Linked DNA regions of Drosophila melanogaster. The protein of the gene in region 2 interacts with the protein of the main gene of each other region in a biochemical or structural test. Each region holds a gene or a part of one and is shown on either strand. Other genes may lie near its edges. The genes, in order: WASp and nwk.

The links.
Region 1: of the proteins of nwk (region 2) and WASp, one has a biochemical effect on the other in vitro, tested with the Drosophila melanogaster proteins (one study listed by BioGRID).

Annotation. Positions count from the first base shown.
Region 1 is NT_033777.3:28,829,907-28,833,830, forward strand, and holds the start of WASp (WASp), read right to left. Parts: upstream 2,119-3,924; 5' UTR 1,912-2,118; intron 1,408-1,911; exon of another isoform or gene 1,313-1,407; intron 1,235-1,312; exon of another isoform or gene 1,088-1,234; intron 772-1,087; 5' UTR 713-771; coding exon 596-712; intron 1-595. Other genes in the region: Apc (APC-like), read right to left, coding at 3,329-3,924.
Region 2 is NT_037436.4:9,135,791-9,139,714, reverse strand, and holds the start of nwk (nervous wreck), read right to left. Parts: upstream 1,856-3,924; 5' UTR 1,826-1,855; exon of another isoform or gene 1,751-1,825; intron 1,134-1,750; 5' UTR 1,039-1,133; coding exon 1,018-1,038; intron 943-1,017; coding exon 713-942; intron 623-712; coding exon 95-622; intron 1-94. Other genes in the region: Use1 (unconventional SNARE in the ER 1), read left to right, coding at 2,612-2,963, 3,058-3,414, 3,814-3,857. UniProt on the Drosophila melanogaster protein: Adapter protein that provides a link between vesicular membrane traffic and the actin assembly machinery. Acts together with Cdc42 to stimulate actin nucleation mediated by WASp and the ARP2/3 complex.

The DNA.
Region 1 (3,924 bases), on a different chromosome or scaffold from region 2:
TCCTAATTTCTTAATGAGCATTTAATACGAGAATAGTGCCCAATAAGTTGTAACCTACATATGTATGTATGGGCACCATAAAACATCTGTGTAACAATGATTCATCTTGTTTTTTTTTTGTATAGTACAGAGAACATTAATCTAAATGGTTATCTGCACTGACTCAAGTAGACTTTCCAGCAAAAGAGTATGTCTTTCAATCAAAACCAAAGCTAATAATGTGTACGATACTCCCATGCAAGTTTTATAGCTGACCAACTAACTATAGTGCATAGAACTCTAATTTTGTTCACAGTTTAGCTTCCGGTGCCATCTTTAAATGGGCAAAGAAACCATTCAACTATGTTGGGCAGTGTGCAAGTGAAATTTGGTAAATATGACAGGCAGCTGCCCGTAGACCGTAGAATGATATTATGATATAGGGTTACTGTGCTTCGAGTGAAATTCGCACACGATGGGCGACACTTGAGCCGCAGGAAGTGCTTCATCAAGCCGTGGGATTTGCTCGGCGAAGGCGGAGGAACACAAACCATGTCATTGCTTAATTATTAATCACCCGATTGGGGGCATTATGCATCATCAGTACTCGACTCACCTGGCACTTCTTGCCCAGCAGCTTGAAGACGGCCTCATTCTCCTCCTGGGTGAGCAGCGTACTGGCGGCATTGACCTTCGCCCGTGGACCGTCCTGCGACCTCATTCCGCTGCTCATCTGGCCGGTTTCGTTGGATCTGGGTCTGGTGCTGGATATGGGGATCTGGGCTGGTTTCCCTGCACAATACGGACACAATACGCATTTTATTGTGTGGCGAAAACAATACGCAAATGAACAAAAGCTAAATGTATTAATTTAATATCACAAAACGCTGGGGACCCCGAAAAAGTAAAAAGTTCATAACAATAAAGGCACACGGAGTAACAGTTGAACTTCGATAGAGTGAACAAAAGTTTGGGATCGTAGGGTTGACGATACAATATGAAAAGTTTGAGCTCCCATAAATATACTAAAGAGTTCAGAAACTGTATAATATTTAACGTTTAAATGAATTATTGCAGTCAACGCCTTCGAATATAAAAAGATAACTACACTTGGATAGGCTGCCTATTTTTTTGTACAGTGTACAGCTTGTAAAAACTCCGATCTACAGAGAGTTTGAGCAACGGAGTCCGAAGTGTGTTGCGAATAACCCGATTTGGGATCGAAGAATTATGGTTTTGGGACTGCTGAATCGATTGACAGTATTGTCTTTACGGTTTTGAATGGTTTTCAGCCCGAATTACGGCCAAGAGCGCGAGCGAGAGAGACCGAGACCTGCGCTGGCTATGACGATGTAGCTGGTTATGGTGTCGGCGGGGCTGCGAGCGGATCGCCTGGTCTGAGTCACGGTGCCCGAGAGTCGGAAATCAGAAGCAGAAACAGAAACAGTCAGCCAGCAAGCCAGCCAGCTGCGTTTGAATGTGGGCAAAAGCCAGGCCAGTGGCAAACTCTTCGAAAAGAGCCCTTATCTTTGGCGAAAAGCACTGATTAGGTGTGCGCATGTATCTATGTGTGATACATGCACAGTGGTCTGGGTTACTCAACATTCGGCACTCGCCACAAGCCACCAGCCAATCCACCCCACTGTGCGCCACTCCGTAGCTCCAAGATTTGTGACAACACCTGTCCGTCGTCGCGCCAGGTGGGGTGAAAATGCAAATGTAAATAGACAGACGCTGCTGCGGATTGGGAGTAAGTTCATGGGTTGGGTTGGTTCGGCTTGGATGGGATGGGATGATGTGCTGCCCTACTCAAGGTCTCGAATTTCCCTTGTGAGCTGCTCTGCTGGGGGGGTCGCCCATTGATTTTTTGCGTTTATTTTCGTGCACTGCTCTTCACTCTTTCGTTTTTTTCCCACACACAACACAACACACCACAAAATCTGTGTAGTCTCTGGCCTTGCGGATTCCGGGACTCTTATCGGGAGGCTCTACTGTGCGCGCGTCCGCGTCATCGAGTGCATGGCGTTGAAAACGAGTGTTCCTCGGTTGATTATTCGTCTGTTCCCGGACGCAATGCTAGTTTGTTTATTCATTTATTTTTTTTCACTCCAATTCAATTGCTGCCAGTGTGACCGACCGAAAAAGGCGATAGGCTAAAAATACTATCCTTTCGATAATTTCCTAAAATATGCATCAAGCTCTGCCAAGGCCCTGTGCAGACCATGCTCGAGACTTTTCAATTTTGCCCATCACTAGTTCCGCTTAAAAGTTTATCAAAAAGTTTCAGGCAATTCCGTTAAGAAATCGCGAGTGGAGAGCTGTGGGAATAGTATATTTTTTCATTTATGTTATCTTTTCCGTTAAATTTGATTTTGTTTACCACGCCCGTAAATTCGAATAAATATTTGTTCATCTGGCTTTCAAAATATGTTTTATTTTGATATAAATTATAATCGAGTAAATTCACATTGGTTTAATTTTTTGCTGACAAAAAGCATATTTCGATTTATTCATATTGAAAATGGTTAATCGCATTGAATCGGTAAAAACTAAGTCGCAAATGATGAGCTTAATGCATAAGCTGTTTCCTAAAACAGTTACCCTTAACTTGCTAAATTATATAAAAGAATACTTAAAAAGCAGTGACTAAAAAATGTGAATTTCTTCTCTCTTCAGATATTTGGTGTTTGCATAAGGAAGCCAGGGGCATATTTTAAACTTAGAGTATATTCTCAATAAAGATGTGCAACTATATGATTGTAATTGATTTCAGTAGCTCACCAGTTGGAGGACAGCTCATCTAACTAAGTGTTAAAAAAGTTAAATCAGAACAGACATTCGACTTGGTAAACCTTTCCTAGTTAATGCGACAATCGAATATATAGCATTTATATATATGCCAGTATACATTTTGTATATATTGGGTAGTTGTACACATGTTGAAAGGCCTGATTTTGTGTATATATATGCAATACATTTGGCTACACACGATCGGGAGCATCGGGAGCTTCCTTCTCTGACTGTGATTTGGATAAGTTGAAGTTACTAGGAGTTTGCGCTAACTCTATGCTAAACTGGTTGCTTACAAAGTTTTAGGGTCTACGTATAATGTATAAAGTAAAAGGAGAGTAAAATATGGATTACATAGCGTATGTATATTAACTCCTATCCTAAAAACTCTTTGATTTTGACTCTGACTCTAGCTCGGCTTGTGGATGTGGACCTGTGCGTGTTCGGTTCCTAAAAAATGCTTGACAAATACAGTCCTGTTCCTCTTACAATCTCCACTTCCGTTTTCGCTTTAACTTGGCTAATTTGTGATCCATACTATCCTGAACAAATTAACCCTCTATTTCCGCGCGCCCACCACTGGCAGCTTGGACTTGACTCCTCCAGCGGTGCTGGGGGTATTGTCAAACGTGGAGCTGCGCAGGAGCGTCGGCTTGGTTCCATTTGCGTTGAGCATGTTGGAAGATTTGGTTTTCTGCGTCCTCAGGTTGGATGACGATTGCTTGGTTTTGGCCTCGTCCACTCTCTTCCAGATGTTGGCGATACGACTTTGCGCATGGTTGATCTTGGCCGCAGCTGCTGCGGCTGCACTGCTTCCATTTAGGTTGGAGTTGCTGCGGGATGGTGGAGTAGTGGACGACACGCGGCCGGAGACCACACGTGAGGCAGCGTGAGATTTGCCCGCAGCTAGTCGCAGACTGGTGTTTGCCCTTTGAGGCGTCATTCGGCGGGCCGGCGCCAAGGGAATCCTCTTGGGAGAGCCCGCTTTCGATGGTGACCCACCGCTGGCCGTGCCTTTCTTTGTGGGTAACTTCGAGGCGCGGTGAGTGGGACTGGTTTGAGCCGGTTTTGTCTCCACCACGGGCACTTGAACATTGGAGTTAGTGGGCTCGTCCTTGACAAAGGTTCCCTGGCGTTCCAAGCGTGCGGGTGCCG
Region 2 (3,924 bases):
AAATGGCTTTGAACTTGTAAAATTTATAATTGATTTACCGATTTTGCACTTCTGGATGGTTTATAATTTATGAGCAATGCCATTATACACTTACCCCATTAACATCAGGTACTCGGCAACCCGCTCGAAAACATAGTTCTCCATGGTGGTCATCGTTGTCTGCAGATCGACGGTGAAGTAGCGATTCTGATGCGCATTGGCCGCCGCCAAGCTGAGTACGTAGTCATTCCGGGCGCCAGATGACTTCTCCTCCAGCAGCTCCTTGCGAGATGTGACCCGGGCGCTGTTCTTCTGCAGCGAAGTGATTGATTGAAAGAAGGAGCCCTTCTTCTTCTTAAGCTTCTCCTCGATATCGCGGGCCTTGTCCCGAACATCGTGAGCACAATGCTCTTCGTCAAAGTATGATTTCTTGGTCTTATCCACATCGCCCACGCTCAGATGGAGTTCCTTCTGCACATTGACAATTCCGGCTAGCGAACGCTTAGCTATGGCCAACTTATAGTCCCGCAGAACCTTGGCCTCATCCGCGATTTGCTGTTGAAACACCTCTATGGCGGCCAATCGAGCACGAGCCAGTTTCTCATTCTCCTCGAGCACAGTGCGCCAAACGCTCCACATGTTCCTATGAGATTACGTATAAGTAGGTGGGTAATTCAAATTGACTGAAGGTTCTCGAAAGAACGTTACTAGTTAGCTGGAAAGCAATACCCACCAGCGTTCCTCCATGCCCTCCATCTTAATATCTGGTATATTGGGTATCTTCTTGTTGAGATACTGCGATGAGATCTTCAGCAGCGACTCACTGTATGACTTCTCGACAGCGGAACGCTTGATGGTGAACTGCCGGATGTCCTCCAGGAGGTCGCATTCATGCTGATTCTTCAGCTGCAGCTTGGCCACCTGCTCCGTGTGCAAATTCTTGAGGAATTTCACATAGTTTCCCTGCAGGATTACGAGGTATACGATGAATGATTATTGTGGAACTATCTTTATCAATTCGATTTATTTATGATTTACCTTACGCGGCGGCGGCTGCATCATGGGGCTTTTTCTACGACAATCGGGTCACTCTACAATTGGCTTTTTTTTTCTATTTTAGCTCCGACTTAATGGTGTTACATTACCTCTAGCAACTGTAAATAGTATGATTGCTTTATGAGAGGATATGATATACGGGTATTAAAATACGATACGATATTTAAGATCCCATCTTATTTTTTTAATATAAAAAAATTTATATTTCAGTGGCTTAAAAGGGGAGATTTATTTTTAACGCCATGACTTATATCAAAGAATCTAACATTATCAAATTAAAGATTAGATAAAATGTAGCCCTACTGATATTTATTATATATATATATTTTCCGATTATTTTTGGCTGTGTAAATGGGTGGTGTTGGTGGTACATGTGGGTGGTTGTGTGGTCCTTAAGCCGTTAATAGGTTCGCTACGCAGCAACGGGTCTCAAAACTTATGTAACTGAAATGCAATGATAACTGACATCGAAACGCAAAGGAAATCAAGGGTTTTCTTCAAGCTCAAATCTAGTACTATTTTTAGCTGGAAATTTTCACTCGGGCAGCCCACGCAGCAGCCCCCCTTTTTTTGGGGGTATCGTATCGATTTCTCTGGCCCCGGACTAGCTTATTTTTTTTAAGCATTTACACCAACTACGTTATTCAAAACACTTGGCTAACACTTTTTTTGGACATGGCCGGTTAAGATGGTTGTTTTTCAGCTGGATTAGTACTTTTTGGGATTCTTATCGCTGGGTTTTCACTGAAATTTGTGGTCTTTTTCTGGGCAGCTAAAATCCGTTGCTTACTTATCGATTTCGATTTTCACGACGTTTGTGTGAGAACTTTTCAACATGCACCGTTAACTGCTGGTGCTGCTGCGCAAGAAGAGACCGCCAAAGAGAGCGGTGAGAGAAAGTCGAGAGAGAACGAAGTCGTGTTTCATTCATGGCCTCTAGTACCGTTAACAAAGAGGGTGAGTTTTATTGTTTTTGCCCCGTCAGCTGTTTGATAACACCTCACTTGCGTGTAACGGCACTTAAGGAAAATGAAGAAAAAAAAACTACTATAAAAATTCAACCTTTGAATGGTATGCCATTTGATCTTGACACCTGGCGTACGACAACAGCTAAAACAAAAATGTGCGTTTGCGTGAAACTACTCATATGCTGTGGCTATCAAAAACGGTTTAATTGATAACTTCAGATATTGGCCAAGAGGTTTGATAAGATTTTCGAGTCGCGCCCAGAAGTATGCATGCAATAATATAAATGCATTACGTTATCTTGAGAAAGTAGACATAAGCTTATAAATATGGCATATTGGGAACTTGATGTTTTTTTTCAAAAATTTTTAAAAATTAAATTTTAACAGGATTAGAAGATTATTTGTTTGTTATGTTTTTTTTACTTTATACATTTTTACATTCTTACATTTTACATACACATCCTCAATAATTTTTCATCACTACTCACGACAACCTATCGATAAGTTTCTATCGCTAATAGGACCAGCTGCTGACAACAAATAGGTTTCGACCTGGTATTTTAATTTAGGAATTTGTACTTTGTTGTTTTCATGTTTTCAACTTGAAAATGGCCACGAAGCTAAATGTAAATATTCGCACCCTGCTGGCCAACTGCGAGGAACTGGCCAAAAGCGAACAGAACTTCTGGAGGCTGCAGAAGTTCATTAAGTCCCTGGACACAATGCTTGCCGAGCTGGAGGCGATGGGCGATCCGCAGAGTGTCAAACGTATCCCGGGCTACTTGGAGCGCCTACAGGCCCTTAAAATATCCACCGGATATGCAGACGTTCCCGGTTCCACAACAAAGACTCCTTCACAATCCTCAGCCGTCAGCGAAACTGGGGAAAATGCACTGAAAGAAATAAGGCAGCTGCAAAACAGCAAATATCACAACGAACTGCGAAAGGAACTGCTCCAGGGTAATAAAGAATTAACAAACAGTTTTGTACATATTTTAAAATTTCTTAAATTCAAAAATGTAATAGTTCATAACTTAAAAAACATTTATTTTAGATTCCGATGCCCTGCGAAGACGTCGAGGAGCAGATGAATCCTCCTCCAGTTCTGGAAGCGCAAACGTTCAGGAAACTTCTGGTGAAAACATGAACCAGGCTGCCAAGTATTATACGAATGCCCAGGAGAAGATCACCGAGCACATGCTCTCGCTGACTCGGAACTTAAAGGAACAGACGGAGACCGCCAACAGGATTATCCGAAGAGACACGGAGGTTGTGTCGCGTTCCGCCGGAATGGCGGATCGCAATATCAATTCGCTAGGAAAAGAGGCTGAGAAACTGGAGCAACATTCGAAAAAAGCCTACAAGTGCTGGCTGTGGCTGATGATTGCCTTCGTAATTGCCACTTTTATAGGTGAGTCATTGTATTTTGTGGAAGTTTTGTTCAAGCTGCAAAAAAGAACCCCTCTTGGAAAATCCCAATTCATTTACTTAACAAATATACCTTAAGTTATCCAACTCAACAACACACATTTAAACACGTTTATAAACCAAGTTTCCTGAATATGTTAATCACAATATTATAAATATTCATTATAAGAACGAAAACAGATAAATAGATATTAGATTCCATTGCTATTATTATTGTATTTAAACTGAATACGAAAACACTGCGAGTCACTTCACTTAAGCCAAATAAACAAGTTTGCCGTGACTCAGTTTGAAATTACATTTCTTAATTGGTTCGATTTATTGCAGTTCGATTGTTGCTGCTTAATTATACTAATGAGTTTATTACCCTTTCAATTTACAGGTATGGTTTTATTCATGAAGATTATGAAGAAGAAGAAGTCGTAGAAACAATTTCCAAACTAAGCAAACTAAAGATTGTACTCTAAGCAAGCTTTAAACGCTCGTTAAGCTC